4 linked regions of the Tamandua tetradactyla genome follow. The protein of the gene in region 3 purifies or fractionates together with the protein of the main gene of each other region. This does not show direct contact. Links are inferred from orthologs where the notes say so. Each region holds a gene or a part of one and is shown on either strand. Other genes may lie near its edges.

Region 1 (7,420 bases), on a different chromosome or scaffold from region 3:
AAAGCATCAGTGGCAACAGTGTATTAAGCACACACCAAGTGCCAAGCCCTTTATACCCAACGTTGAATGTGCGTATCAACCCTGATACAAGCGTGACTTCTGTTCCAGAGAAGAGAAAATCAACTCTGAGATGACAGTTCAAATGCCTTACCCAAAGCCACAGAACTACATGGTGAGAGAACCAAGACTTGCACACAGGCTGTGGGGCACTAAAGAGGAGGCCCTTTCTCTGCTGGGCAACTCTCCTGGGAGGAGCTTTCTGATATTCCGTTCCCCCACTCCTCCCCAGCCAGGGAGACTTCTGGGTCTCTGCATCCTGTGGGGATCAGGGGCCCGGGCAACTTGCGCACACACCTCAGGGGTGATGGAGCCACAGAGTTGGCTGATCAGGGCGAGCTGGTGCTGCTCCGTGTTGCCCTGCATGATAGGGCTGCGGGTCCACATCTCCGCCATGATGCACCCAGCACCCCAGAGGTCAATGGGGGGGCCGTAGTCTCGCTCTCCTGGGAAGAAGAGCGCACCAGGAGGGCCCCTTGAGCCCAAGGGCTTCCTGAGATGCAATGCCTTGGGGCTAATGGCTCAGGAAGCCCTGGCAGTGTGGGGCTGGGGCCATGTAGGGGTCCTCACCGAGCAATAGCTCTGGGGGCCGGTACCAGAGTGTCACCACACGATTCGTATAGCGGTTGGGCTGGCTGTTCTTGGCCAGACTAAAGGCCCGAGCCAGTCCAAAGTCTGCTAGCTTCAGGACTCCATCACGGGTGATGAGCACATTAGCTGCCTTCATGTCCCTGTGCAGGATCTGTGGGAAGGGATGGAGTGAGGGCTCAGCCAGGTTCCTTGGAGTCCTTTGACCACACCCATCCAGCAGTGGGCACAAAGGCCAACCCAAGTCTTAGTAACTCCTCCCCCACTTTGGTGCCCACCTTGTTTCTGTGGATGTAGTAGAGACCATTGAGTAGCATCTGCATGACCTTCTTGATCTCAGACAGTGTGAACTTGACTAAGACGTTACTCAACAGCCCAGCAAGGTCATGCTCACAGAAGTCAAACACCAAGTATATACTGCCTTTGCAACGGTTATAGGGGGAAGCTGGAACAGCAAAAATGAAGGGGGGGGGGGGGCAGGGAGAAGAAAAGAATAAAAAATCCCACATTCAACCCACTTTCCCATGGTCAGCTCCTACCCCTCTTCAACTTATGGACCACCCATGCCCTCAAGCATCCGTTTGCTTGTTCCTTCACTATTTTCTGAGTGCCTCCTCTGGGCTGGGTGCTGTGGCAAGCCCTGGGAAAGCATCAGCTACAATGAGAGAGGACCAGAGAAAGCAGTCATCACTACTACGTCTGGGTTAAACAGAGGCCATTTGGTATGTCCAGTTCCAGCTATGTAAACAAAGTTCATGCTATAAACCTCATTTGTTACCATCTGAAAATAGGGAATAAGATCCAAACAACTTACCTTTGGTTCGACAAATCTCAATCAAGTTGACGACATTCTCATGTTTTAGAAGCTGGAGGATCTTGATTTCCCTTAAAGCTGTGATAGGAAACTGGTGGGGAGAAGGGGAGGACAATAAGGGGTCAAAAGTGGGTGAGGGGGTGCAGACCAAGGAACTGCCTCTAGAATCTGTTCTAAGGAACAGAGGCTGGGAAAGAAGTAAGAACATGGGCTCTGAAATCAACTGCCTCAGACCCCCTATGGATAAAATAAGTATAACAGTAGTATGTACACTGATTCCAGACAATTAACTGAAACAGATATTTAGCACACTTTACCAAGTCACTAAATGCTCCTTAATTCCTTTCTGCCTTCCAACTTTAGCTCTATGCTTGTGTTTAACTTGCTTTGTGGTAGCAAAAACAACAAAAATAACTATTAAAAAATTCCATGGCTACAAAATTAATCTCTGGGGAACTAGACTAAGAGGGAGTGATACAGGGCGTTAATCCTCTTCAATATGTTCTCTTGAGTAGAATTCAACTTTTCAAAGCCACGTGGATGTTTTTTACATTAACCAAAACTACACACTAAAGAGAAAAGTGTTAAAAGCTCCCCTTCCCGACCCCAACCGTGTTAACAAATAAAATGTCAAACGCTTCAAAACATTCTAATTAAAATACCTAGTTTGAAGGCCAAGTTCTCTGGAATGTGGCAATTCCCAAATTACTAGATGCCAACTGAATTTCAACATGAGACTCCTAGGAAAAGTGGGTCCCCATGTCCAGTGGAGCTGGTAGGCCTGCCCACCCAACCTGTACTCACCCCCTCCTTCTCGTTCTCCATCAGCACCTTCTTCAGGGCCACCTTATCGCCAGTCTTGCGATGCCGGGCCTTAAACACTTCCCTGCAGGCCGAGAGGGGGACCCAAGAGAGCTCATCAGGCCGCTTCCGCTGGGTCCGCCCCTCCCCCACTAGAGGAAGAGGGGCAGGATAAGAGATACTCCCGGGCAGGGCGGAGTATACGGGGCAGTTGGCCACCCCACTACCTAGTATCTATGGTCCTTCTCCGATCTTCTCCGCTTCCTTCCCTCAATTCCTCCTCCTCACTCAGGCATCTATCTGGGAGAAGTCCCTCTTCCCCCAGGGGCTTCTCTCTGCAACCCTTTCCCGTACCCCACCAGAAGCCTCAGGCTCCTCCCCGCCAGAAGGCTCCGTCAGGTCCGGGTGGGATGCAGTGCGGCCTTGGGAGATAAGGGGACAAGCCCGGGGCTCGGCGGCTTCCCAACCACTTCGGGCCCGACCCCGGGCCCCCGGCGTCGGCCCTGAAGCATGCAGCCCCCGGTCTCCCCGGGCCGAGTCTTACCCAAAGGTGCCTTGACCGATCTTGGCGAGCTTCTCATATTTGGACACTTCATCACAAAACGGGCACTCCACCGAATCGTAGTGCTTTGCCATGGCCGCCTCCAGCGCACCGCCACCGCCTCCAGTAGACGCCGCCACTCCCGTCCCAGGTCCCGCTGCCGTGCTCCAGGCCCCTCCGCGGCCGCGCCACTTCCGCCTCCACGGCCACTTCCGGCCTCGCGGCGCCGACCCCGCCTCTTCCGCCCGCCGCCCGCCGCCAGGCCCCCTGGGACTTGTAGTTCCCGGGAGACGAGGGGGAGCCGGAGCTGCAGCGGCGCCTCCGCCGCCGCCACTGCCCCCGCCTCCGCCGCCGCCAGTGCCGGCGGCAGCTCCGATCGGGGGTGCGGGGAGCCGGGGCGCCGAGGCTGGGGCTCGGGGCGGTGCGTCCCGCTGCATCGGCTCGGACCGCCGCTGCTGTCGAAGCTGCTGCCTCTCTGGCGCCCGATCCGGGGCCAGCCGCAGTGCCCTGCTCCTCCTCCTCCGCCGGCGCCGCCTCCGCCAGGCTGCGCGGGGCGGCGGGCGGGGGAGCGGCCCCCGAGCCGCGGCCTGGGGGCTTCCTGGCCAGGCTCCGGCCCAGGACAGCCGGGCGAGGGGTCGAGTCGGGAAGAGCCGACGAGGAGGCGGCCGGAGAGCCCGGGAAGGGGCGCGTTATAAAGGGGGAGGTGCCCGGGCCTCGCCCTCCCCTCCCCCTCCTCCCGCCTCCTCCCTCCTCCCTCCCACCTTCCGCGGCCGCACCTGCCGCTGCTGCCGCTGTCGCCTCCCGCTGTCCGCCGGCCGCCCTCGGCGCGTCACCGCCCGCGGCCCCGCCCCCGTCTTTGGAGGTGGGCCCCCCGCGCCCGACACCTGGCTGTGGGGCGCCCCTCCGCCTGACTCAGTTTACCCCCGCCCCTTACTAGCTGCTTCGGGGAACCCTTTCCTCCACAGCTCGGGGTGCCCCCCTAGAGGCGAAGGCGAGACGCGTCAAAGGAGCGGCCTCCGGCCCTGGGAGGAGAGACCAGCCCACTCCGCGGCCTCCCCAGGCCTCCTCCACCCGCCGTTGACATGGCAACCGATGGCCGCTAGGGGGCGCGGTGACACTGGAGGCGGTGAGCGAGCAACAGCCGGGCCTTCGGCCCTGGATCCCTGTTCTCTGGGCGGCAAGAATGAGACCCCAAGGAACTACCACTCCGCCCTGCTGCGTCAGAGCCAGTTGGGCAAAGGACAGTAATCACAAAGATAGCTAACATTACTGAGCACACCTGTGTGCTGGAGAAGTGCTGGGGACTCCGCCGAATCCTGACAACAACCCCTAGTTAGTCAGTATTACAAACCCGGTTTTCAGTGGCCATTTAGGCTCTAAGAGAAGAGATTATTTGCCAATGGTCATACAAAGCTGGGACTCGAACCTGGGCTTTCTGAAACTGAAGAAGTTTCTTGCAGCTCGCAGTATTTACAGTCTGCCAGGCACCAAGCCGGCTATTCACTTACCATCTCCCTCATGGGCCCTGTGCCCTCTCCCCCTTTCCCATCCTACCCATGCCTTCTTCAGCACCTCCCTCATATCTCTCTGGTTCCATGAGCCTCTGGATTCCTCCTCCAGATCTACCCAACGACCAGCCCCCAGCAAAGCTGTCTTTTCTAACTCCTTGCACCTCTTCAATCTGCCCTCTGGGCTCCGGCCCTCTATAAGGGATCGGGAGTCCTGGCCACCCCAGACTCCTCATCTGTCCCCCTCACAGCACCTGCCAGATTATTCTAAAGCAGAGTCTGTATATATTTCCCACCTTCCTCAAGCCCTCCAACTGTCTCAAGAAAATCCTGACTGTGACATTTAAAGCTCTTTCCAGTTTACAATCCCAGGCTGTGTCCTTATGGGTTTCTCTACTAATTCCCCAAGCTTCCTGGCTTCAGGGCTGTGCTCCCCTGACCTCTCTCCCCCAAAAGTAACCTTTCTGCCTACAGGAGGCCTGCAGGGCGGCTTCATAGGTTTTACCCCTCACTGCCTGGCCTTGAGGCCTTCTCATGAGAAAAGGCAGGAACGGGTTTGGTGATCGTGGTGTCCCAAGAGGCCTGTTCTGCGCAGATCCCTGCCAGGGAGAGCCTTGAGAGTCAGGCTGAGGAGCCGGGTGTCCTCTCCTGAGGGTAACGTGGAGCTGGTGAGAATTTTTGATAAGAAGTGAGCTGGGGTCAGCTTCTTGGGCACACTGTTAGAAGCAGGGAGACCCTTGGCCAAATCAGGTGCAAGAGGGCAGAGAGGAAGATAATAGTTATAGTAATTACCATTTATTGAGGAAAAATAAATGTGCTAAGCCCTATACTTAAGGGAATTATCTCAATTCTCCCTGAATCTTATGAGGTACCTACTATTATCCAGCCTGGTGTACACATAAGGACACTGAGACTCAGAGGTGATGTCACCTGGCCAGGGTCAAATAGCTGGCCAGTGGCCTAGCTGGCATTTGAGCCAGGTTGGCATAAAGCCAAGCTCTTGCCCATGTCATGGTCTGCCCTTCTGGGCTGGGGGCAGAACTAGGGATGTGGACTGGATGCTGGATGGGAGGTGTGTGAGGACATAGTAGCAATACTATGAGGTCTGTCATGGGTCTATGTGGCCTCCACCATCAGGCCCTCAGGCTGGGACCTGCTGTCTCTTTCACACGAGCAATCCCATAAGTCACATCCTGTGGGCAGAAGCCTCAGCAGAGGTTCCGGTGGTGTTGTCACCTCTACTCCACCATCTGTGACCTGAACTTTCACATCTGCCAGTCACTTCCCTCAGGCTGTGGGCCCTGCCTGGAGAAGGAAGGCAGGCAGGGCATTGGGAGCCCTTCAGAAGGCTGCCCGGGCTTGGGGCCAGACATCACCAGAGCTGCCAAAACCCAAGTGAAGGTGAGAAGAAATTAGCAAGAAACAATTTCTAGACTTTGATTTCAATTTTGCTGGTCTGAGGAAAGTGTTTCCTGTATCCCAGGTATTCACTAAGCAGGCAAAGTGGGGCACGTGACTGGTAGTCAGTAAATGTCTGCTGAGTGACTGTCTGATCAGGCCCTGGGAACTCTGGTCCTGCTACCCATTTTATAGTTAGGGAAACTGACACATTAAGCAGGAAGAGAGTCACTGCTCAGCTGTTTGACCCTAGCCTGAACCCTTTTCCCACCCCTGAGCAGGGATGGGTAATGGGCATGTGGAGGGGAAGGAGAAGACAGATTCTTTGGGTAGGTTGCTCTTTGCATCTGGCACATCCAGAAAGACAAAGGATCTCTGGGGAGGGGGATAGAGGAGAGAAAACATCTGTGTGATGCCCACGGTCTTGTCAAACCATGGAAGTTTTGCCCTTACTGGCTGGGAACTAACTCTGCCTGGCCCTGTATTGACAGGCATCACCCTCCTGAAACTTTATAGCACCCCTCTTAGGAGGTATGATAATCAAGGCCAGGTTATATAAGAAGAAACAGGCTCAGAGATGTGAAATGACCTGCCCAAGGACACACAGCTAGGAAGCAATTGAGCTGGAATCCAAAGCCAGATGTCTTTTCTCTCAAAGCCTAGAGTGATTAACCATCATCCTACATTGCCCCCATTACCAGTCAATGGGGTCAACCCAGGGAAAAGCATCTATTGAGCACCTACAGTTTAGCAGGCATGGGGCCAATAAGTATGGGTAAGACCCATTCCTCTCTCAGGGAGCTTAAGGTCTGTTTGGAACATGCAAATAAAGACACACGTGGATGTAATAAGGATGATGATCTTGGTATAAATGTTTTATTTCACGGTCATACGAGAAACATCATATTTGCTCCATTTTAATGATGGGAAAAAGTGGCTCAGAACGGTGACATAACTTGCCCAAGGTCACCAAGGTGGGGACTGAACTTAGGTTTGCCTCAGTCCAGTACCTTTGATTATAACATTTAAGGCCTCCAATCCCTAATTGTCCCTGGCCAAGCTACAGGCTATTGGGTCATAGACTGGGGAAGAGGTGGCAGGAGTGAGGGACAGGAACCAGAGCAGGTTCTTGGGGGCACTGTAGCTAAAGATGGCCTTAGAGGTACTGGAAGGAGGCAAAAGATTGAACCAGTGGCAACAAGAGCAGCATTCGGGTGGGGCTTCCAGCCTAAGCAAAAGCCTGCAGGCGGGAAAGCTGCAGAGTGTGGGCTGGGCCGGGCTGGCCTCCAGCACAGGCTGAGAAGAGCCTGTGGGACAACCACCCGCCAGCAGGTCCCCAGCCGTGCTCCCAACGGCCACTCAAGGCAGTACAAAGAGGGGTCTGAGCTCGGCAGAGCTGCCACACTGAGCCCCATTCATCCTCCTAGAGATGTCGGCCACTGCCCTGGTGCCTGGGCCAACGGCAGGCCCAGACCCAGCACTGACAAGGCGCCTCTGCCACAGCAACGAGCCCCAGCCAGCCCCACAGCCTCCCAGTGGCCAGGACTCCTGGGTCTCACACCATGCATCTGCTGCCAGGGTTTTCCTGGCCTATGCCAGCCAGTCCCTTGTCGGAATTCTCGCATCCCTCAGCAACAACAGCCAGTCCTTGCCAAGGCCTGTGGCATGCTGGCCTTGAATGCTCCTAAGAACCCCAGGAGATGGGCCCTATAG
Region 2 (7,882 bases), on a different chromosome or scaffold from region 3:
TTTTGCTTTGTTTCTGCCTATAACAGAAAAAAAAAAAATCTATAGATTTCTTCTCCCAAAAATACTTCCTGTAAACACAGATCATATTGAGAATTTTTTTGCTTTTCAATAACATATCTATTAGATTTCTTTTTAATGTTAAATTTATCAATGTTTATAATTAACTCTAAAAGCTCTATCTATATCAAAGAAGACAGAGGCATTATAACACAAAAGACAATTCAATGAGTATGACTGCTACATTATATGACTGCTACATTATATTGGTATTTCTTTTAGCCTCCAGTGTCTTGGAGTAACTAGAAGGAAAAATCTGAAATTGTGGAACTGTAACCCATATCAAACTTGGAAATCTCTTCCATAACTACTGGTTAAAATGTACTTTGAAATTTACTGCTTTTCTGTATATATATTTCACACCAAAGAAAGTTTAAAAGAAAATTTTAAAAGCTCTATCTATTCCAAAGTGTCTCAATTGAAATAAATTACTAAACCTATCATTCAGAAGAATTCTTGTCAAACTAAGGCTGGTATAAATTACTAATGTCACCACTATGATCACTACTTTTGCCCACTCACCCAGCACCCATGTTCCCCTTTCTCTATCCTAGCAATATATATGGTATCTGCCTCTCCACCCCGCCCCATACACACATTATCCAAGTACTTCAGAAGATGTCCTCACACACACATCCCAGAGTGAACCCTATTCCTACAAGAGTAATGCCATTCCCCTTGCTAATTCCTACTTAGGAACACAAGCCTAAGCCAGTCAGCACTTGGTATCCCTAGCTAAAGGGACTGGATAAGCCAGTGAGACTCACTCAAGAAATAATAGACTTTGTTGCTCTGAAAAGATATTCTTGGCTACTCTGAGGTGCATTTTCTCTTACTCATGACAAAAAACATCCTAACTATTTAACAACATAAAAATGCACTGGTTGAGGATTTTGAACATCAACTAACGTATTATGAACAAACATACCTTTATTCACAAACCTCTGATCTTATGACCAATATTGGTCTATCTATATTTGGTGAAGTTATTGACTTGATAGAGTATGTACTTCAAGAGGGAGAAGGAGAAGTAAAGGCTAAGGGACAGCAGAATAAAAGAATCCATGTCACAACCACATCACAGATCAAATTCAGAAAATGAAAAATCTCTTCTTGCCTTCCTACCTGCCATGCCAAAAGCCACTTAGCAAATAAGAAAATGAGACCTGATCAAATTCAGGTCTAAATTAGGGGAATGAAGAACACCCTAATCCAAACAGAACTCCGGGTTCCGGCATCTTTGTGGGACATTAATGAGAATTTCTTACAAGTACTAGTAAACTAAAGAGCAGTCAGTAATTGCTAAAATTAAGGAGATGGGGCCAAAATAATAACTTTGAGGCCTCAGAAACATTACTAGTCTAATAGAGACCCACTCTAATGAATGTTATTACTCTATTCTGGCATTTGCTTCTTACTTCCTTACATTGTTGGCCCTGCTGATTTTCACAAGCAGTTGTAGGCAGCTGCTTCCCTGTACACTTCACAGCAAATTTCTGGTTCTATAACTGAGAAAGGGCAAGAGAAGGAAGGGTTTTCCTCTTCCAACTCTAGATAAAATCAGAAAATGTTTATTTAGCTCCAGGAGAGTAAGACTGTTACTTAATTCACTGTACAGACATTCAACCACTTTTTTCTTTCAAGTCAAATATTTGCCAGGTGCTTAGTAAATATATGCAAGTCATAGTCTATCCAAAACCAATGCATAAATTTTTTTTCTCTTTCTCATAAATTCTTTTTATAAGTTTCATACTTATTTGATCTACATCTCTAATAACCAAAGTCACAATTTTGAAGAAAAAAAGCATTAATGCCCCATACATTTTGCAATTATATTTGTGCCAGAATTAGTGAACTGGAGAGCACGTTCGTTATTTCCATAATACTGTGTTGAAACAAAAGCGCTAAGAAACTACCACTTAAAAAAAGTTCAATGATGTACATTAAATTGTTTATTAAAATAGAAGTAACATTCTGTGAAAATAAATGGAAATGAACTATACAAACGAACCAATAACTACTGTCTGGAGGAAACATCTGCACCAACAAGCAGGTTCAGCACACAGAATGAGAAAATCCTGATAATTCAGAAACACTGATGCGCGGTGTCCGCACTCAGAACGTAAACCATACACTGCAAATATAGAACTTCATTAACTGCTCCAAAGGAAATCAAGGATCCTCCTCGACGAGATGGATGGTTTTTTGTTTTGTTTTTGTAATTCTGTAGGCTACCTCCCAAAAGCAACCTCACTCTTCGGGGAACACATTTCACAGTCGGCAATCTGCAGAAGCAGATAAGTCCACAGCCTGAAGAAGACGGAAACAGGGACAATGCCCAGGACTGCCGGGGAAGCGATGGGCTGGCCGTGATCCAGAGGAGCACAGCGCGGGACGAACAGGAGGCCACCTCCGTGGGGCTCCTGGCGAGGCACCCCGGCGCCGTCCCCACCCCTCACCCCCAGCACTGGGAGCGCGCCTCGCAACTCCCCGACTCCACACCTGGGAAAGTTCGCACCTCCGCAACCCGACCCCTGGCACCGACGAGCCCCCTCTGGCCGCGGCGCCATCGCCATGGAGCTCGGTCCCCACCCCACCCCGGCCTTGGGGGGCCGCGTCGCAGTCCCGCGGCAGTCTCGGGCCCCGCTCTGGCCGGAGCCTGGACAGGGGCTGTCCAGCGAGGGAGACGAGGAGCGCAGGGGGACCGGGAAAGAAGAGGAGGTGGGAACAGCGGAAGTCGGCGGGATCCCGAGCAGGGGCCAAAACTTGCCCCGGGGGTCCTCACCCTTCACTTTGCCGAAGGTGCCGACGCCTAGCGTGTCCCCCAGGATGTAGTGGCCGATCTTCACCCGTCCGTCGTGTTTCTGCTTCTCGGCTGCCGCCATCTTTCTCCAGGAACTGAGTCTGCGCATGGCGCTACGGGAGGGGGCGGAGGGGGCGGGCAGGGCCGTGCCGCGCCGGGGGTGGGCGGGGAGGCGCGAGGGGAGCCGCAGACCTGAACAAACCACCACCCGCTTGGTCCACGCAGTGGCTGTTGTGTACAGACGCGCCCCCTGGCGGGACGAACGGAGGTCGCTGGACGGGGTCACCGTCAGTACCCCTTACCTCGCCCAGCATCGTTATGGCCCCGGGCGCCTGCCCATCTGCTCGCGGGAGGGGGCTGCGCGCGAGAGAAAGGCGGTGGCCCCTCCGCTCCTTTCCCCCCGGGTGGAGTCTCTTCCTGCTGTGGTCACTCCAGGCTCCCGGGGGACTGCTCCCAGTGTGATTCCAAAAGCGGAGCTGTGCACCGGGAATCTCGCTTGAATGATGCAGATGCGTGGTTTATTACTACTGTAGCTTGGATTGAACACGACTTTGCCACTGTATTTCTAAACTTTATTTTTATCTTTTCCTCTGGGATGCGTTATGGAAGCCGTAGGGAGTTTTCACTTGCACCGTCTTGTGGTTTCTCCCCACTGCTCTTTTGTACTTTTATTTGCGGAAGTTGTTGTTGGGCAACTCAAGTAGACTTTGTCGAAGTAAGCTCTGCTGCTGGGAGCAGGTTGAGGATGTATGTAAGTAGTGGGGGAAGGGTTGTTACCCAGCCCTTTTGGAATATGAGAATTCACATTTTTAAATTATCAGCAAAATGTAAATTTCATTGGCCTGAAAACAAGGCTTACAGTTACATCGGCCAGATCAATCGACAAATGTTTGTTACACTTGCAATAAACGAGACCGTCTGTTGTCTATACGAATGAAATCATGCCATTTCATAGGGAAAAGAAGGAGAGTATGTCTATTTGTATCGAAATTTAAGTGAGTTTCTTACTCGATGCTACTCTAACGGAGCAAAATCAAGTATCTCATCAAAAAAACAGTTAAGTGCTCTCATATTTGCAGTGTCATAGCACCTAGGCCTGTTATCAGTAGGCAAAAAGTTGTGCTATTCATGAAAATAGTATTTAAATAAAAAGACAAAATATCATTTTTCTTTGCAACAAAAATCAGCTACCCAGCTCTCCTGGTTTACATATATTTTTCTATTTATGAAAGCAAAGGAATGTGCATTAAACACTGCTTTGTACAAAGCAGAATACTTGCAGAGGAAGCAATCATTCCTACCTTGAGCTTAGAAGTACACAAAATAGAGAACAGTTCCAAGTAGACTTGCTCAGATAACCAAGTCTCTGTTGTACTATGGACTGCACATATACTGAAGGCCCAAAAGTTCAGAAATTGTTGATTATTGAGATATTTGGGGAGTGGGCAGGGGTTACTGTTGTAACTTTCGTTCTCTAGCTTCTTTGGCTTACCCTGTTTGCCTTTTGAGTTTCTACAACTCAGGTATTTGGGATCTCTTCAAATTGCTCTCTGGATTCTGTTAACTATCAGTTTGTTTCTGCTCTGATGTTATTTCAGGTTGCAAATCTATTTAATAATATTCATTAAATGCCACTATTCAGTGAAAGGGGGAAACAAAACCTAGAATCATGGAAAATAGGATTGGGCAGGAACTTAAAGGTTATCTTCTCCACTCTCCTGTAATGCCTGGTTAAGCGGCTTTAGTTGCTGATTTGTTTGTTTGTTTTCTTATGTTGAGTTAAAAACCTGATTCCAATAAACATCTACCAGTTCCCAAGAAGGTAAATAATAAGCCTCCTTTCCTTATTCCTTTGCTTTTTCTATTTCCTTCATTCTTTCGTGTGTGGTAAAACAACCCACACATCTGCCTTACCTGAGCAGGATTCCCTGTACCCCCCAAAAATGTCCAACTATTTCCAGCCTTCCTCCTTTCCAACCTCCTATTGATCTGTTCCCAAATATTCATCCCCTCTTTTCTTGAAGTTTGATAACTGCCAGACACAGGAGAAAGAAACAAAATGAAAAGTCATGGTCTCTGCCCTGGAGGAGCTCATGGTCTAAGATAGCAGTTCTCCCTATTTTCCCCCCACCCAAGATAGATAATGTTCACTTGCCGGACATTCTTCTAGGGTGGAAGAATAGATAAGGTAGACTGTGGTTTATACCCGGTTTCCTGACCCATCAGTTGTAAATCTGCCCCTTTTCTCGACAAAGTATATTGGAATGTAACTGAGCAGGAGGAAAATTATGGAGGTAACCTTGAATCCATTGTACCTTAACTGAAGTGAGGGTGGGGATAAATTGTTTGCAAACTTCAGTATTTCAACTTTTATTAGTTCAAAGAAGACACATTGTGTCTTAGCATTGATAAAAACATACCCAGCTGATCCAATACCTTGGTGTAGAACTTCCTTTGAGGAAGAGCTGAGTAATTGGTTGTCATCTGCTTCCTCTCTAGCCCTCCAGAGCTTAAGGCTGGTATGTCTAGTCTTAGTCTTTTCTTCTTAAGGTCATCATAGCTTGCTAGACCCTACACTATCCAGGTGAACATTCCAGTGGACTAAAAGAAACAGAGTATGGACAAACTGAAAAAAGAATGACTTCAGTGGTAGAGTCATGGAAGTAGAGGTGTAGGCCTAATGGATGGGTCTGTCCTTATGCTTGGAGGTGGCAGGCCTTCTGCCCATGTGCTTGGAAGTGTTGAGTTTTACACCCCAGCACATGGGGAGAGTTCAGCTGTACCCCAATACTTAAAGCGAGTGCGGTCTACAACCCCAGTTTGGGGGCAGATATTTGATTGGGGAGAAACTAGGTCTCAGCACAGAGACCTAGTGCAGATGGCCACTGCACAATCACTTGGAAAGAGTGGGCTGCCATTTCAGTACACCCACATCTATCCACAGATAACCCTCAAAGCTTGAAATTCGCCATAATTCACCCTGATGGATTTTGGACTTGCCTGGGACCTCTGGCCTTTCCTTTCCTTCCAATATCTCCCTTCTAGAATTGGACTATTCCATGCCTCTGCTCTCATCGTGTTTTGGAAACAGATAACTTGTTTGCTAGATTTCACAGAGAGGAATTTTGCCCCAGGACAGTTCACATCCATGTCTAATTTTTTTTTTCTTTGTATGCTAGTGTGGCGGGGGTTACATGTCATTCTTTTTCCATGTGAGTATCCCTTTATTGCAGCACCATTTGTTGAATTTTTGTTTGTTTGTTTTTGTTTGGCTTTTCTGTTTGTTTGTTTTGCTTGTTTGGAAAGTATGTGGGCTGGGAATCGAACCCTGGTCTCCCGCATGGCAGGCAAGAATTCCACAGCTGAACTACCCTCTCACCCCCATCCATGTCTAATTTTGACGAGACTTTAAACTTAGAATTATTACTGAAATGGCTTAAGATTTTTGAGGTATCTTGATGCAATGAAGGTATTCTTCATGTGGGAAGAATATGTGTTTTGGGGGTCCAGAGGGTGGATGGGATAGACTGAGTTTTATACCCCAAAGAAAACATGTTCTTAATCTTAATCCACATCTCTGTAGGTATGAATCCATGGTAAATAGGTCTTGTTAAAGATGTTGCTTTTCTTTGAGTGTGTGGCCCAATTGAATGAGGGCAGGCCTTTGATCAGATTGCTGGAAGCCTTAATGAGAAACTGAAAGTCAGGAGAAACCTGGAAGATAAAGAAGAGGACATCATAATGTTATAGGGAAGCCAAGGAACCCTAAGGTTGCTGGCAGTCAGCCCCAGAACCTATACAATCCTTGGAGAAAAAGGAAGCTTTGCTCATATCTACATTGTGGACTTTTCCTAGCCTCAAAAATGTGAGGCAATAAATTCCCATTGTTTAAGCCAACTCATTGTGTGGTATTTGCCATTTTAAGCATGGCAAACTAAAACATAATCCTGAAAGATCATAATGAAGAGAGGGCTAAACCTTTAACTTTAGAGGTCTTCAAAGTCTTTAGCTTGAATATCTTATGAGTGAATATTAAGAGATGAAGTTTTCTACTCAAAGAAAAAGTTGGCGTGGAGATTGGGGAAATTGGAGAAGGCATCCCAAGTAGGGAGAAAAGCATATGCAATTTCCCAGAACTAAGGAGCTTAAGACTATTTGGAGAAATTCAAGTGGTTACAAAAGAAGGTGTAGATGGATTTCTTAGAGAAAATAGTATGTAAATCTTGAGTCTTGAAAGTCCTGTTATGCTCTTATCAGTTTGCACATTATTTTGTAAACAGTGGTGAACCATGGGAAGATGTAAAGCACATGCATTTTAGAAATACATTTTTTCACCCAGGAAATTTGTAGCTATAGGTGCCTCTGGGAAGTGACCAAGAGTCAGGGGCAAAAGACAGATGCACTTTTCCCAATATACCCTTTTGTAACTTTTTTATTTTGGAATGTATGCACATATTACACAGTCAAAAAATTAACTGTTAGGAAAAAATAACCAAAACTCTGACTTTAGTGTGGAGGATAGATGGGAGAAGAGCAAGACCAAAGTGGGGGTAAAACAGTAGACTCAGCATCATCTAGCTAAGAAATGATGAGGCAGGCACCACGCATGAAGAGGAGAAACAGACTCAAGGCCTATTTAGAAGGTGGAATTAGTAAAACACAGATTGGTATGGATAAAGAGGGGAAAGAAAGAATCTGAATTATCTCCCAGGTTCTTGCCTGGGAACCTGAATAGATGATGGTGGCATTGATGGAAACAAGGAATGTAGGAAGAGAATAGACAGGATTTGGGGAAGAGTGAGGAACAGACGTTCCAGAGAATAAAGAATTCTATTTGTAAAACTGAAGCATCTAAAGGACATTCGGGTAAAAATATCTAGTATGATACTAGTAATACAGATCTGTAACTCCAAAGAAAGGTTAGTCAAGAGAGAAAGATTGGGTGTCATCACTGAACAAGTAGCAAATGAAGTAGGCCTATGTGTTTGAATCAGAGCTCCCTAGCTTGTAGAATTAAAAGAA
Region 3 (7,394 bases):
CAAATTCAAAAGGAGACATATAAGGATAACTGACTTAAAAACAAATGCTTATTGTGTAGATGTGAGAATGCAATTTACGTTAATTTTGAAACTGAAATGTGGTTGATAATTTTATGATATGGTCTACCACAACTTAAAGTGAACAAAAATCAGTAATTAAAAGACATAAAACCTGGATTTTAAAATGGGTTTTTAATTAAAAGGTCCTTTTATACTTAAATTATCTAAATTATGGTTTTGTTTAAATAAATCTATGAAATATAATTTTAATTTATATATGATACATTTAGGCATTCATCACATGATAAGGACCTCAACTTCTAATTACCCACAGTAGTATTTAAAGTAATATAGTCATATACACTTTAAAGAACAATTATATAACCACTCAAAACAATTAAGAACCTCAGTCTCATTAAGATTCCTTACAATTATCTATATATATATTTTTAAAAAAATACTACATTAGGAGGAGTAATTGTTCAGTCAATCTACCCTCGCTATGCACCAAAAAACCAACACAGCTTTTAATAGCAATAGCTTCTATGGCCATGGAAAGAATGTTCTTTCTTCTCTGGACTAATTCATTCTAAGCTCAGACGTTTAGGAAACTAAAAAAAAAAACAAAAAGTACTCTCTTCTAATCCAGGAATAAATAGAAAATTGAAGATTTAATTCGTTGTCTAATGCAATATTTTAAGTTTTTATGTTGAACTGATTAAAATCATTTTTAAAAAAGAAATCCACCCCAAATTCCCATAACTAAAACAACTAAAGATTCAGAAACATCAAAAGTTGGAAGACAAAGATCTCACAACATTTAAGCCTGCTGTTGTAGAGAAACAAAACATTTCAAATATCTCCTTTATTTTTTGAAAATCTCAAATAGTCAAAAATTATCTGCTGGTTAAAGAGGTCACCTTTCATTCATGATGTTATTGGTCAGTTAGGTAAATAAGAACAATTCTCACATAATTACAAGTAAAGTAGCATAATTAATCTAAATCAAAATTAATAACTTTGCTCTTAAGAAGTTAAATTTAACATCTCTGAGATATAAATCATTCCCAGGACACATGTCAAAGAAGACACATTAGAAGAAAAAACCGACTAAACTAAATCAAGTGTTTCTCACAAATGATGAGGATTAATAACGCACATTAAAAAAATGTATTTCTATAGATGTCCTAAACTGATCAGGGCCATAATTGTAGACTAAGTAGAGGTTAGGTGGAAGAATGATAAAAAGAAAACAAGTGAAAGCATGACAGAATAAAAATTTCCCATCAAAGAATATTTTGAAATCTATCCTTGAGTTTTGATTCACACAGGAAGAAATTCAGTTACTAGAATTCTCTAAAGTAAAAATCCGAGATGGGGGGCAGGGGCTGCTCACAGAATTCCCATAGACTACTACAAACACTTAACCAACATACGCCTTCACTTTTTCCTTGTCCACAATCTAATAAAATGGGAAGACAATAAAAATAAATACTCCTATAAGAGCTGCCCTCACAGAGGCCAAGGAAGCGCCCATTCAATGTTAGGCCTTGTTCCGCTGGAAAACATACTCCTAAAAACTAAATCCAAATCCCCGAGCTCAAACGTCTTCATACAGAATTTACGAATGGCGGCCACCGGGAGGACACGCTGTCCCGAATCACCCTGAGGGATATCTAGAGTTCTTCATTCTCCGCTTACAGCTCCGACCTTAACTATGCTTTCGGCACATCTGCAGATTTTTAAAGAGATTAAAACGTCAATCTAAAAAAGGCAATCTACATTCTGACCCTCATGAGTCTTTTTTTTCAGTACTGGTTTTTAATCATATACTTTCGCGGGGACACCTATAAATGATCAATAAAGGAAGAAGGCGTTAGTCCCGGGTGTGAATAGGATCGGGAATCCTAAAACAACTTTTAATGCGCTTTCGTCTCATCCCAGACTACTACAAATCGCTCGTTGCCACAGCGCTGCGCTGGCACTTTCAACAAGTGGCGGTGGAGGAGGGATGCTGTCTCCAGTCCCTTCTCCCAGGGCGCAGCTGAAGAGGGGTGAGCGCCCATCCAAAGCCCCCGGGTGGGCTACCCCGGGGCCGCCGCGCCGGGAGAGCGGAAACCGAAAGCGAGAAGGGCAGCGGCCAGGACGCTCCGTTATCCTCACCCTCCACGGGGCCAACAAGGTGAGGAAGTCTCAACAGTGCCCGCCGCGCGTCCGTCCCAGAGCATTGCTCAACCCCGGGCTCGAATGTTCCCGCCGCCCCCGGCTGCGAAGGCGAAGTTTCTCTCCCGCCCGCCGCGGCGGCTACTTACGCTCCGCCCGGCTCTCGGAGGATCCCGCCGCCTCCTCCGAGCGGCTGCTGCGGCGCTCCGCAGTCAACCGCCCGCCCGGCTTCGGGCGAGTCGGGGCGGGGGTGGTCGCCCGCCGAAGTCGGGACCTGATACCCCGGGCGGGAAACAAAAGCCGGGTGAGGACAAGCAGGCGCAACCTGCCTCGCCTCCGCGAGGGGGAGCGCGGCGGGCGCCCAACCAGCGCGCCTCCCGGAGGGAACACCGGCCCCGCGGTCTGCGGGGAAGCAGGGGCTGCGGCCCGGGCGGGGCGGCGAGGGGCACGCGGAGCCGCCCAGGGACCCGCAATGGGGCTGGAGGAGCCCCGGGAGCGCTCACCTCCAAGCTTCCCCGACCCCGCTCCGCCCGACTAGCCGCTCCAGGGAAGGGGAGCCGCGCGAGGGGGGCGGGGAGGCGGCGGAACCGAGAAGCAGGGAATTCGGCTCCCGGGGCGCCGCGGCCGCCCGCCCCATCCCTGCAGCCATGGCGCCGGTACCTGTCGCCGCGGTTGCCTGTCGTCTCCGTCTCCCTCCGCCGTACCCGCGAGCAGAGCGCCCTCAGCCCGCCCAGCAGGCCGCCGGCACACCGAACGCCGCCACTAGAGACTGGCAGCGCTCGCCAGCCGGCCTGAAAACCCAGGGCAGCGCCCGACGCCGTCCCGCTCCCGCCGGCCGCAGGACCCGCCTCCCATAGGGCCCCGGGGCTGTCAGCCCGCCCCCAAAAGGCGCGCGGGCTGTAGCCCCGCGTGACGGGATTGGTGGCAGCGCGCTGTCCGCGCAGATAAGGCCACACCCCTTCATTTGCATCACCGCCTGAATGTAACCTCCGCCTCCCCCACCCCAGCCCACGTGTCTGGCTCTTGTCCTTTGTGGGGACCTGAGAGAAGGGAGGGAGGAAGCTTCCCGACACCTCCTCACGCTCTCCTTTACTCCAAAGAAACTGATACCTAAACAAGCTACTTGACTTCATATCTCTTTGACAGCTCCGTCGCCGTTGTCTGGCCACCGGTCGTGCCCTGAGGATGGAGAGGGGCAGACCAAGCTGTCCGTGTCTGGAGCCAGCCAGGTCTGCCCCAGGAAATGAACTAAGAAGGTGAAGATGCCTGGACTGGGGAAATCCCACCTTGAGAACCAATTGAGCACACAGTACCTCTCTCTGGACACCCAGTGACTGTGGACACCATACTTTCCCTTGACTTCCAACCTTCCAAACGTGAGATCGCAGACCATTAAGAAGGATTGAGACAGGAAGAGGCCTTAACAATGGCCGTTTTCTCCCCACAAAGCATAAATCTGCTGCACAAACTCAACTTCAACATCAGCCCACCCCCATCCAATTAGATGGTTACCTGACTGGCTCCCATTGAGATCTATCAGCTGCACCTGGGTCTTAGGAAATGCCCAACTCAACCGTCTCGTTTTTTGAGGAAAAAGAAACCCGAAGTGCCAAAACTAGTTACCTATGAGACCTAATAATTACTTCTGGAATCTAAAAGTCCCATAGTCAGATTAGAATCCACATCTCCTGGCCCCCACATCAGCCCTCTAGCCACCATATCATGATGGGCATCACGTATTTATGAAAGTCACCGCACTGGTTGAGATTGTAGTTGTTCCTGCCTTCAAGAGGTGGACCCTTCAAAAATGGCAATTCCAGCACCGACAGACAGGATCCTGTCTTAGTCACTTAGCTATCCTCAGTAGTTAGCAGCTTCCCATCTTACCAGCTACTAAGTACCAGCTTCTCCCAACTACCAGGAGACAATCAGGACAATTTGTTCATGCCTTAATTCAGCAAGACAATGTTTATTAAAACTGCTCTACATACTAACACCAACTTACTAGGCATCTTATGTGCATAATAACAGTAAGTATTAAGCACTGTGTATGTGCAGAGCAAACGGAAGTGAGAAGACATTAGCCCTGCCCTTGGGGGCTTCAGCCTAGGGCACAATGACATCCACATAACATGTCAGTGCTCTTCATGTCACAGGGGCTTTGTGAAGGACCCCAAAGTGGGAGGAGACAGGGTTCCCTGGGGGAAACAGGGAAGTCTTTACTGAGGACTGGAGCTGAGTCTTGAAAGGTGGAGTAGGTGTTTGCCAGACAGACGAGTGTGAGAGAGGAAGTAAAGGGACTTCCAAGCAAGACCTGGAAAAGCCTAGTAGTGGAGGGAACAGTGAGGAGCCATGTGGACCAATCTCCAGGGCTGTGTGGCTGAGTCACATGCCCTGGGACCAGGCTCTTCCAGGAGGAAGACAGAAAGGCCCGGGAGGCTGCCAGGCTGTGTTGTAACACACCGCAGCAAACAACAGCAGGCCCTGTAGATACAGCTGCAGCCTTTTTTTTTCTCTTTTTTTTCTCGGCCAGAGTCTGTGGGGAACAGTCAGTTCCACAGTTCTGATGGCAGCTTGGCTGGCCCCACCTACTCCCTCAGAAAACCACTCCCGTGGCTGTACTTACCCTCATCTTCGGCATTTGGAAGCACATGTGCTTGCATTTCCCTTAAAAATTGCTGCCCTTCAGTTTTAATTCAACTATGACATGGTCTATGGCTGCAGAAACCTGAATGAGGGATGGGTAGCCCTTTCCCAACACACGGAGCCGTTCTTTGCGGAGCTGTCACCAGGGCTGGCAAGCTTCATAGGTGTGTGACCTAGACAGTTGCCTGGGAATACACACTTAGCAGGGCTCTGTGCTTGGTTTAATGCTCTACCGTTGCCATCGCGAAACTCTTAATCATCTTTTCAACAAGAAGCCCCACATTTTCATTTTGCACTGGACCCTGCAAATTATGTAGCTGTTCCCAACAGTGCCCCTGTCACTGTTAGTGCCCCCAAGCATATGTATAGCCAGCCTGCTACTACTCAAACCACATCTCATTTTTAAAGCTCTAGGCATTCGCTAGGTTTGCTCACGTGCTATATGTCATTTGATTCTCACAAGGGCAATGTAGGGTAGGCCAGTATTACTAGTCCAATTTACTAGTTGAGAAAGTTAAAGTTTGGCCACCTTCTCCAGGTGGCACAGCCGCAAAGTGAGAGAGCTTGTATTTAAACTCAGCACACCCAACCCCTATTTCTTCTCCTGTACAGCTACATCCATGTTGGTTTCAGAATCTTCCCAAGGCAGCTTGGTATATGGAGGTGTACCTTTCTAAGAGCCAGCTCACCTTAAGGAATGGGCAGTTGTTATTTCATGGTTGCCTGCCAGCTTTGGAGCAGCTTTTCACCAGCTTTAAAAAAATTCTCAGCTGCTGCCTGTGCAAATATTGTTTCTGTCTCTTTTCTTCTATCCTTCTGGAGAAGGATATTACACCTTCCCATGACAGCCCTTTCTTTTGTATTTTCTGTCTTTTTTTCTTCCCTGCTTTGTTCTGTGAAGTGTCTTCACAATTTTTCAGCACATTTGCTCTCTCTTCAGCTTTTTAAAAACAAATCTACTCTTAAACCCATCCACTGAGCTCTTAAACTTGGTTATGCTGTTTTTTAGTTCTAGAATTTCAGTTTAATTTGTTTTCAAATCTGCTATGTCACTTCTCAGACCTTTTAGTTCCCTGCTACAATTTTCAAACTTGGCTTTTCTCTCCTTACACATAGTAAGTTAGTTGTTTTACATTCTGTGTCTGATAATACCAATCTGGACTCCTTACAGATCTGTTTCTGTTACCACTTTTTACTGCTGGCTCTTCCTACATGTCTCTTCATGTACCTGGTTATTTCTTTGAACATTGTATTTGAAAAATCATTTGAGGTAATGATGTTAAAATCTTCCTCTGGAAAGAATTTCCATTTGCTTCTGCCAGGCATCTGGGGTACTAGCAATCTAGGATCACCTTAACCCAATTTCAAGGCTTCTGATTTTCTAAGCCTCCCAGATCACTCAAACTGGGCTATAATTTGTGGGAAGGTTTGTTTTTTTAGAGTTCATCCTTACCCAGTGGTACAGCCCTTTGGAGACACAGTCTAAAATCTTGGGAGTTGTTTTAGTTATATATTGCTGCATGGCAAACTATCCCAAAATGTGAGGGCTTAAAACAGATGTCAACAGACTTCTCCTAAAGGGCCAGATATTTTAGACTTACAGACCATTTGATTTCTGTCACAACTACACAACTTCTGTCGTAATAGCATAAAGCAGCTATAAACAAAACATAAGCAAATGGCATGGCTGTGTTCTAATAAAGCTTTATTTCCTAAAACAGGCAGCCTAAATCTTCATCTTGATAAAGGACATCTATGAAAAATCTGCAGTCACATCACACTTGATGGAGAAAGACTGGATATTTTCTCCGTGAGATCAGGAACAAGACAAGGATTCCATTCTCATCACTTCTATTCAACGCTGTACTGGAAGTTCTAGCCAGGGCAATTAGGCAAGAAAAACAAATAAGAGGCATCCAGATCGGAGAGGGAGAACTAAAACTCTTTGCAGATGACATGATCTTGTATATAGGAAAATCCTAAGGAATCCATTAAAAAACTATTAGAGGTGGCGGCCTCCTGGGCTATGTAGCCAAGGCAGCACTTTCAGTGCCTTAGGGAAAGGACAGGATTCTAGAATGTCACTACGGAAGGGACATTGAGTGCTTTCTCATACGAATTCCAAACTGCGACCCACCCGGCTCTGCCTGTTGCTGGGTGTGGGAACGCAGATGCTCAACACCCTAAAGAGATGTTTTAAGATAAAGGAGGCTTTAACTGTCAGCAATGTACGGCGGTAATACAGAACCTAGATTCGCGCTCTGCAGGACGGTGGGAGATGAGTAAAACATGCTTGAGGATGTGGACAAATAACTGACATTAAAATTTTCAAAAGTGGTCACAGTGGCGTAGCAGGCAGAGTTCTTGCCATGCCGGAGACCCGGGTTCATTTCCCACCAGTTCCTGCCTATGCGAAAAAAAAATTTTTTTTTTCAAAAGAATAGGGAGGTTTGATTTCAACACTCTAGTAAAATTCTGAATACTTCCAAGACTCTTTGCTAACTAGAAATAGCAAGTAATGTTTTGAAGATACCTCTGTATGAAAAGACAAAATTGTTACATCAAACAGGATTGTCGCTTTAGAA
Region 4 (7,456 bases), on a different chromosome or scaffold from region 3:
TTTCAGAAAACCTCAATTAAACTTAGATGAACTTCCCAACAGGAATGCTACTGGTATATCATTCAAACTGACTAAACTGCCACAAGGACACAAGGTGGACCACAAAACATTACATTTGAAAATATGGCCACATAGTAATAGTTACAAATATGATTATTTTCCCACCATCACCGACACTCTAGAATAATAAAGCAGGGAAGATTTAACTCTCTCCTGTTTTAATTTTGCCATGATTTTAACTCTATTTTAAATAAAAACCCTTTTCACTAAGAGCATAATTCTTCAATCCAGAGGAGGGATAGGATGCAAACAACATATAAAGTTCAAATACAACAATCAGGACCTAGAACTCCCCTAATGTAGCATCATCCAAGTATTTAGCAAAAAGAGAAACATTTCATTAGTCATCCTTGGTCAAGAATTTGATCTGGGATTGCAAAAAGAATGGGGAAGATTTTAGATCATATCTGAAGAGATCATGAACCATTTAATTTCTTATTGTGATCTGTGTTGCAAGTCATAGCGCAATGTCCACTTCTCTTTATAAATGGCGGAAGAAATAAATTAGGGAAGAAAACAGGTAACATTATTTTGATGCAAGAATCAACCTTACAGAGGAAACGGAAAGAAAACCAAAAATTGACAAGTATCACCAAAAAGGATCGTATTTGTGACTCTGAACAAATAAGCACAACAGCGAGCTGAACAGGTGCATCAGGTGACAAGGACGGAGCTGCTGCTGCTGGTATATATACTTAGAGCTAGAATAGTAAACTGTGAACAAAAGCGTGCAGAGGTGCTTTAGAGCATTTTGTTGAACATTTTCTCTGTCCATATTATGTGCACTTGATGTTTATCTGTAATGCCAAACTACCTCAGACCCAGTATGCCTATGACCAGAGGCCTGAAGGAAGCACTTATTAAAAGTACTATTGCCTGCTTCCTGTACTTCCTGGAGATTCTGCCACCCCCTCCACATTACTTTCCAACCTCTGACCCTCAAGACTGACTAAAATTCACGGGTTAAAAAACTGCTCAACTTGGCATTGCGCAGATGGCACGCGCAAGTTTTGAAGGAGTAACAAAGCATCACGAGGACCTGCATTTATTCTTGGGTTGGGCAAGTATATGTCAATTTTCAATCATTTCTTGGTACATGAAATGTGCACACCCCACACGTCAAAGTGCAGGTGAGCGCCTTACCTGCATAGAAGCGGATAAGGCAGCCAATCTCCGAGTCCATGCCTTCCTCCTGTACCCTCCACAGCTCCCCAAACCCCAGCTGGAAGAGGTAGTCATTTTGGATCTGCAATGGCTTCTCGTCCGCCTCCAGGCGCCGGGTGGTCTCTCCATGGAGCTGCACGTACAGGGTGGGTGGTGGAGCCTCCTTCTCCGCGGCCGCCGCGTTCTCCCCGGGGGTCGACGAGGTACTGCGGATGGATGCGGCCGCCGCCGCCCTTTCCTCCCGCGGCCCATCGCGGGCTGCACCACCCGGACAGTCGACGCCCTTCGGAGCTTTGGGCCGCGACGCAGGCGGTGAGGCCGCGGGAGACAGCTGCAGGACGCGGGGGTCGCCGCACAGCTCTGGGGAGTGGCTGGAGAGGTGGGACTGGTCCGAAGACCCCGTCGGGGCTGGGGTTGGGTCTGCCTCGAGCTCCGACGACGACGACGAGGAGCCACCGCCGCTGCCGTAGGGGTCCAGCCGGTCCGACACGCTCTCGGCGCTGGGACTCAAGCTGAAGCTCTCGGTGTCGGAGGCCGGGCCCGCGGCCGCGCCGTCCGGAAGCCGGGGGGCGCTGGGAGGGGGAGCAGGGCCCCCCGCGAGCCGGTCGCCGGGGCTGGAGTCGGAGGGCGCCGGGCCAGCGCGGACAGTGCAGCCCATCCACCCGCCCGGGCCTCCGGGCAGCGGCAGGTCCGCGGGAGGCGAGCGCGGCCGGCCCCCGACGGCACCCAGCCAGCTGCTCCCAGGCGGCGGCGCCCAGTCCCGCGGCTCGGTCCGCAGCGGCAGGGGCCCAGCGTCCGGGCCAGGGGTGGCGGCAGTGCTGGGCCCCCTGCCCAGCACCTTGACCAAGCCGCCTCCACCCTTGTGGCCCAGCTGGAGCAGGCGGGCGGCCACCTCCCCGGCCGTGGTGTCCAGCGTGCAGAGCACCGGGCGCAGGTAGGTGGAAGCCATGTGGCGCTCGAAGACGTGCACGCAGCCGCGCTGGAGCTGCTGCCTCACCCAGTCCCGGTCCGACGGCTGCAGCTGCATCATCTGCCGGTGCTTCAGGAGCAGCGTCTTCCTGTCCAGGCTCCGGGTGCACAGCGATGCCGAGGCCGAGCAGGAGGCGGCGAGGCCGGCGGCGCCGGGGGAGTGCGCGGCGGCAGCGGCCGAGGACAGATTCCTCTTCAGCCGCCCTCTCCTCAGCAGCAGGGAGTTGGCGCCGCCGCCGGCTCCGGGCACAGGGGCAGCCCCGCCGGCGGGGTTCTGGGGTGCCCCGCGTCTCCTCCTGCGACTCGTGCCTCCAGCTCTGCCGGGCAGCGACCCCGGCGGCGCCTCAGCGGGGGCCTCTGTCCGCGCCCCGCTGCCGCCGTTCCCGCCGCTCCGCGCCGCCGGGGTCAGCATGGGCTCCGGGCTCCGGCCGCCCCCAGCCGCCGCCGCCAGAGCTGCCGCCGCCGCCGCCGCTGCCGCCGCCGCCGCCGCCGCCGCTGCCGCCGCCGCTGCTGCCGTTGCCGCCGCCGCCGGAGCTCTGTCCTCCCTGCCGGGTTCGGGGAGTCGCTGCGCCGTGGCCGCGGCGGCGGGCTCCATTGCAGTGGGGCGCTGCGTTTCCCCCCAGCTCCGGAGGCAGCGGGCGGGGAGGGAGGAGGTGAGGCGAAGGTGGGCGGCGGCGGCGGCGCGGGGAGAGGGGAGAAGCCAATGGCGTTCGGAGCGGCCGTTCCAGGGAATTATGTGGCAATTCGGAGCATTCCGTCGGTGTCTCGGTGTTCCATCCCGCGCGCCCGCGCGCCCGCTCGCCCTCCTCGCCGCCACCGCCCCGCCCCCCCACGCGTGCCCTCCCCGCGGGGGCCGCGGGCTCTCGAGCCCGGCCCCGCCCCCGCCCCACCCGGGCGAATCAGCGCGCGCCGAGGCTCATTGAATATTAATCACGCGCGGGGAGAGGGAAGGCGCGAGACAGACGGGGAGGGCGCTCCGCGACGGCCTCCTGAATATGCATTGCGGGCATTACGGCATTCCCCCGCCGAGTGGGGAGAGCCTGAGGGGGGTGGGGGGCGGGGCTTCAGGGTAAACAAAAGTGACGCGAGCGCGGGGCGGGGGCAGTGTTCCCCGAGGTCCCCGAGCGGGCGGGAGGCCAGAGGCGCGCGGTCCATCTCGGGAGTAGTAGTTCCTCGGCTCTGGCGGGCGTGCGCGACGGTAGCCTGCCGCACTACAAGCCCCAGCGAGCCTTAGGTCCCGCCGCTCCGGGCCGCCGGCCGCTGCCTGTGGACTGTGCGTATCGTGCCCTCTTGTGTTGAGCTCCGGACGGGTGCAACGCTTGTCTTGGCGGTGCATAAACTGTACTTTATCGGGCGCTCGTCATATGACTTCTCTTTTCCCTGCTAATTGAAAGTGAGGGTTTTGAGGGACGCTAAGCTTGGTCCCTGGTCCTCACCTCCAGGCATTGTATGAGTAGATACCAATACAGACCCTCGCGCCACAGGATAACTGGCCATCTACGGCGACAACCTCGCGCTGTTCTCACTCTTACAAACCCCCTTTCCTAATTTGGACAGTTGTTAATGTGCTTGGGGGGAATCGCGCGACCGTGAGCCCATCTTTTCCCTCTCCTGTATCTGAGTGTTTTCCCTTTGGTCTTGAAATTTGAAGTAGCTTAATAGCACGGAAAGCAGCGAAAAGGAGAAGAGAAGTTGGAGGAGAGATACGGTGAGATGTAATATGGGCTGTTTCGTGCTTTCTCTATTATATTTTCCCTGGGTTTTTTTATTTCAGCATTGAGAAAAAATATATTTTCTCTACAATGTAGCAGTAGCTGCATTTTCTAGTCAGTTAAAACAATATTGTGATGCGCCCCTACTTTGGAAGGTTCAGAAGTTCTACATGTTTTCAACCGTGTCCTCAAATATTTCAGTGTGTCCAGAAAATATTAGTCTTTCCGTTCTGTCACATCTTGAAGTTGGCCGCTAGTCAGCAGGTGGTTTTCCAGATAGTGGCACCACTATACATTCCAAGGTGGTGTGTGACCCAGTTTGGTGAAATACAAATGCGCGGAATATCCTGACAAAGCTGCCAAGCATTTAGAGAGAAACGTGTCTCATTATCAGTCACAGATGGACAGACAGGCTCAGGTACATGTGACATCAATTGGACGCAGATCCTAAAGGGGTCTAGTGAAAATAAAGATTCAAAGAATGAAAAAACCTTTCAACACTTAAAATTTTGCCATGGTCTAAAATGCAAGCCTGGCATTTCTGCCCTTAGTGCCCTCAAGATTCCTCCCTTTAAGTGTCCTCACATTTCCTACCTGGCATAAATAGCTCCAATTGTCAGCAGTTATTTAGATGAAATCCTTATCTGCAGGCTTTTTTAGAAACTATTAATGTGTGTTCCCAGGATTTAAATATATATATATGTATGTATATTTAAGGTGAACTAGGGCAGGTTACTATTTAAAAGAATTTAGCAAACCAAACCTTTTTAATTGAATTGCCGTTCCCCCAGATTGTTTTATAAGTGTGGATTTTCACATGAAACTTCTGATAAATTTTCAACTAAGGTCTATCCAGGGTCGGCCTTAACTTTCAAAACTTTAAACTTTGGGATGAGGAGGGAGAGAGAGAGAGAGAGAGAGAGAGAGAGAGAGAGAGAGAACAACTGAAGCTTATTGAAATAATAGAAACTGATAAGAGCAAGGTAAGTTGTGCTTAACTCATCCACATGGTTTCATTAAAGAAAAATGGACGAAGTTACCATAACTAAAAATAAATATTTCTCTTAATGATTCTTAAAATTCCTGAAAATGACTTCCTATATATATATTTTATACATGGGCAGGCACCAGGAATTGAACCCACGTCCTCTGGCATTCCAGGTAAGCGTTCTTGCCTGCTGAGCCACCATGGCCCACCCACTATATATATATTTTTAAAGTCATCCCTTGGACTCATGAACCTCATTTTTATTCCATTTAAATCCAGTTAACAGCACTGAGTTGTTTTTAAAAATTAGGAAGAACACAAATTCTCCCAACAGAGAAAAAATATTCAGGTCAATTAATTTAGCAATTATACACATATATTGGGTACCAGTCACTATATTACACCCATTGAATAAATCAGGCATTTTCCCTTTCCTCATATTGTTTACAGGTTAGAAAGAAAGACCTTCCATTATTGAGATGGTTGTGGGGAAGGGAAAATACAAGGTTCCATAGAAATGCAAATAAAAGAGGGGAACTCACCTAGTCTAGGGAGTCAGAAAATGGAGACCTAATTTTGGAGGAAGTTTTCTGGAATGAATAAAAGTTGAGTACTTGTTGAAGGATCAGTCTTTGAACGAAGGAAAAGAGGTAAAGAGAAAGAAGGAGAGTGAAGATAAATTTCAACTACACTAATCTATACTTTGTCTTACATATCCCCAAGACAATTTTTCCTAGAAATTGAGATTAGTATTTCAATTTAGCCATCCACTAATAAAATTTTCAAACAAAGCTCATGTTAAATTTCCATACTAAAACAAACTCTTTACATCTTCTGTTTATATTTATTTCCTTAGTTGATTTCTTACAAACCTCTTTAATTTTTCCTATATTAAGAAATGTCATTAACTAATAGTATCTACTTTCTAGGTTATATTTCTATAGCTAATTAACAAGCTCTATAAAAGTTTCTTCTAATAATAAATTCTGCCATCCTTGGCCCAATGTCCATTAGCATCTGCTCTAAGAAATTGTAGTATTTTACTTATTTTAGCTCTGGTTCTTTTCATTTAGCTTTACACAGTCACCACAACTCTGCCTTTTTATACTCTAGGAATTTCGTTTACCCTTTGAAAGCATTTCTAATCATAGCACCTCCTTCCAAGGGGGTGGAGGCGGAAAAAATGAAAGTAAAAAACATTTCTCAAAGAACTCAACTCAAAATATTGGAGAGGGAGGCGTTGGGAGAGTCATACACTCCTAGACAATAGAAACTTAGTATGAGGGATTACTAAATTGGGGTTAAAGGAAATATATCTCAGTATGAAGAAAAAGGAAATGCATTCCCCCTTAGGAAAAAAAAAAAGTGGGGGGGTGGGAACGTGAAGGAATGGAGAGTACGATTTTACTCAATTTCATGCTGAGTCTGTGACCTGAAAGATTCCATTGAACCCAGGATAATAAACATCCGAGTGGAGTGGAGAGCAGAAGGGCAAGGGTTCATGGGATGATTCCTCTCTCATGTCACCCCCAATCCTTCGATAAAGTTGCAATAAAGTTATGAACGTTGGGATGAAAGGAGATTCCGAAAGGGAAGACAGTCCCCTTAACACCAGATTAGCTGGAACCTTGTAAAAATAACAGAAATGATAATGATAATGAAACGTGTACTTAGAGGGTGCTCGTATCATCAAACATTAACTGGACCAAATATGCCAACTCACACTACACAATTTTTCTGAGTAGGAGAAAGACTTCATTAAAGGGCAAATATCTTGGAATAGCAGCTTCTCCTATTAAATACAGTAGAAAATATGCCAGCGTTCTGAAACCATGTACGTCACGAATGCCTCCTGTAAAGTGTTCCAAATGTATAATCTAATACCACATTTCTGACTAGCTGAACTTTCCCAAACATCACATTTTAAAATGCTTCAAGATAATCCTGAAGAGAAACATCAGATAAAAGTTGCAAACTCCGATGCCAACTTGTTAAAATATTTTCACAGTTATGTTTAGAAAAAGAAAACATAATTTTCAATTTGCTGCCACTGTTTACTTTACGCTGTGTGATTTATAAATGACTTGCTGTATTCTGCATCTAGGCTAGTCCCAGTGTGCATCTTTAGATCTAAAATAAAAGTAAACCATCTTTGGATTTATTTTCTTCTAATATAAGCAGTTGGAATTTTAATGGGAACATGAATTGATAGCTGGACGGTTTTAGTCAGTTGTAAAGGGCTCCGCAGTGTCCAGAAATAAACTCAGAAACGTGTACCATACAATGTAATACTTTTAGTTAGTATATTATGAACAAGAGATCTAATTATAATTTCATATTTTTATATCCCTTGAGCTACTAGTGTCCCATGCCTAAATTGCTCACTCTTTACTCATCCTTTCTTACCATGAGGGGCCCATTTATTCAATTACTGCTCTAGTGCAGATGGGCCTCAGGTGGCCCAACTGAATTAATATGTCCACTGCTGACCTGCAGGATGAAGACTGCAGGTCTTCTGGTCTCTCCAAAATCTTATCCCTTGCTCATAAAATTTATAATTTGA

The links.
Region 1: the proteins of FKBP5 (region 3) and CDK9 purify together in Homo sapiens (affinity purification with mass spectrometry; 10 studies listed by BioGRID and IntAct, counting the BioPlex papers as one, with this or other methods). This does not show direct contact. The link is inferred for Tamandua tetradactyla from reciprocal best matches to the Homo sapiens genes FKBP5 and CDK9.
Region 2: the proteins of FKBP5 (region 3) and PRKAA1 purify together in Homo sapiens (affinity purification with mass spectrometry; 3 studies listed by BioGRID and IntAct, with this or other methods). This does not show direct contact. The link is inferred for Tamandua tetradactyla from reciprocal best matches to the Homo sapiens genes FKBP5 and PRKAA1.
Region 4: the proteins of FKBP5 (region 3) and PHLPP1 purify together in Homo sapiens (affinity purification with mass spectrometry; 4 studies listed by BioGRID and IntAct, with this or other methods). This does not show direct contact. The link is inferred for Tamandua tetradactyla from reciprocal best matches to the Homo sapiens genes FKBP5 and PHLPP1.

The regions. Positions count from the first base shown.
Region 1 is NC_135328.1:50,628,012-50,635,431, reverse strand, and holds the start of CDK9 (cyclin-dependent kinase 9), read right to left. Parts: upstream 3,013-7,420; 5' UTR 2,897-3,012; coding exon 2,805-2,896; intron 2,346-2,804; coding exon 2,264-2,345; intron 1,551-2,263; coding exon 1,460-1,550; intron 1,091-1,459; coding exon 924-1,090; intron 800-923; coding exon 628-799; intron 504-627; coding exon 355-503; intron 1-354. UniProt on the Homo sapiens protein: Protein kinase involved in the regulation of transcription.
Region 2 is NC_135335.1:90,939,005-90,946,886, forward strand, and holds the start of PRKAA1 (5'-AMP-activated protein kinase catalytic subunit alpha-1), read right to left. Parts: upstream 3,002-7,882; 5' UTR 2,970-3,001; coding exon 2,843-2,969; intron 1-2,842. UniProt on the Homo sapiens protein: Catalytic subunit of AMP-activated protein kinase (AMPK), an energy sensor protein kinase that plays a key role in regulating cellular energy metabolism.
Region 3 is NC_135331.1:92,296,916-92,304,309, forward strand, and holds the start of FKBP5 (peptidyl-prolyl cis-trans isomerase FKBP5), read right to left. Parts: upstream 3,014-7,394; 5' UTR 2,824-3,013; intron 2,397-2,823; exon of another isoform or gene 2,313-2,396; intron 1-2,312. UniProt on the Homo sapiens protein: Immunophilin protein with PPIase and co-chaperone activities. Component of unligated steroid receptors heterocomplexes through interaction with heat-shock protein 90 (HSP90).
Region 4 is NC_135344.1:19,506,894-19,514,349, forward strand, and holds the start of PHLPP1 (PH domain leucine-rich repeat-containing protein phosphatase 1), read right to left. Parts: upstream 3,008-7,456; 5' UTR 2,789-3,007; coding exon 1,204-2,788; intron 1-1,203. UniProt on the Homo sapiens protein: Protein phosphatase involved in regulation of Akt and PKC signaling.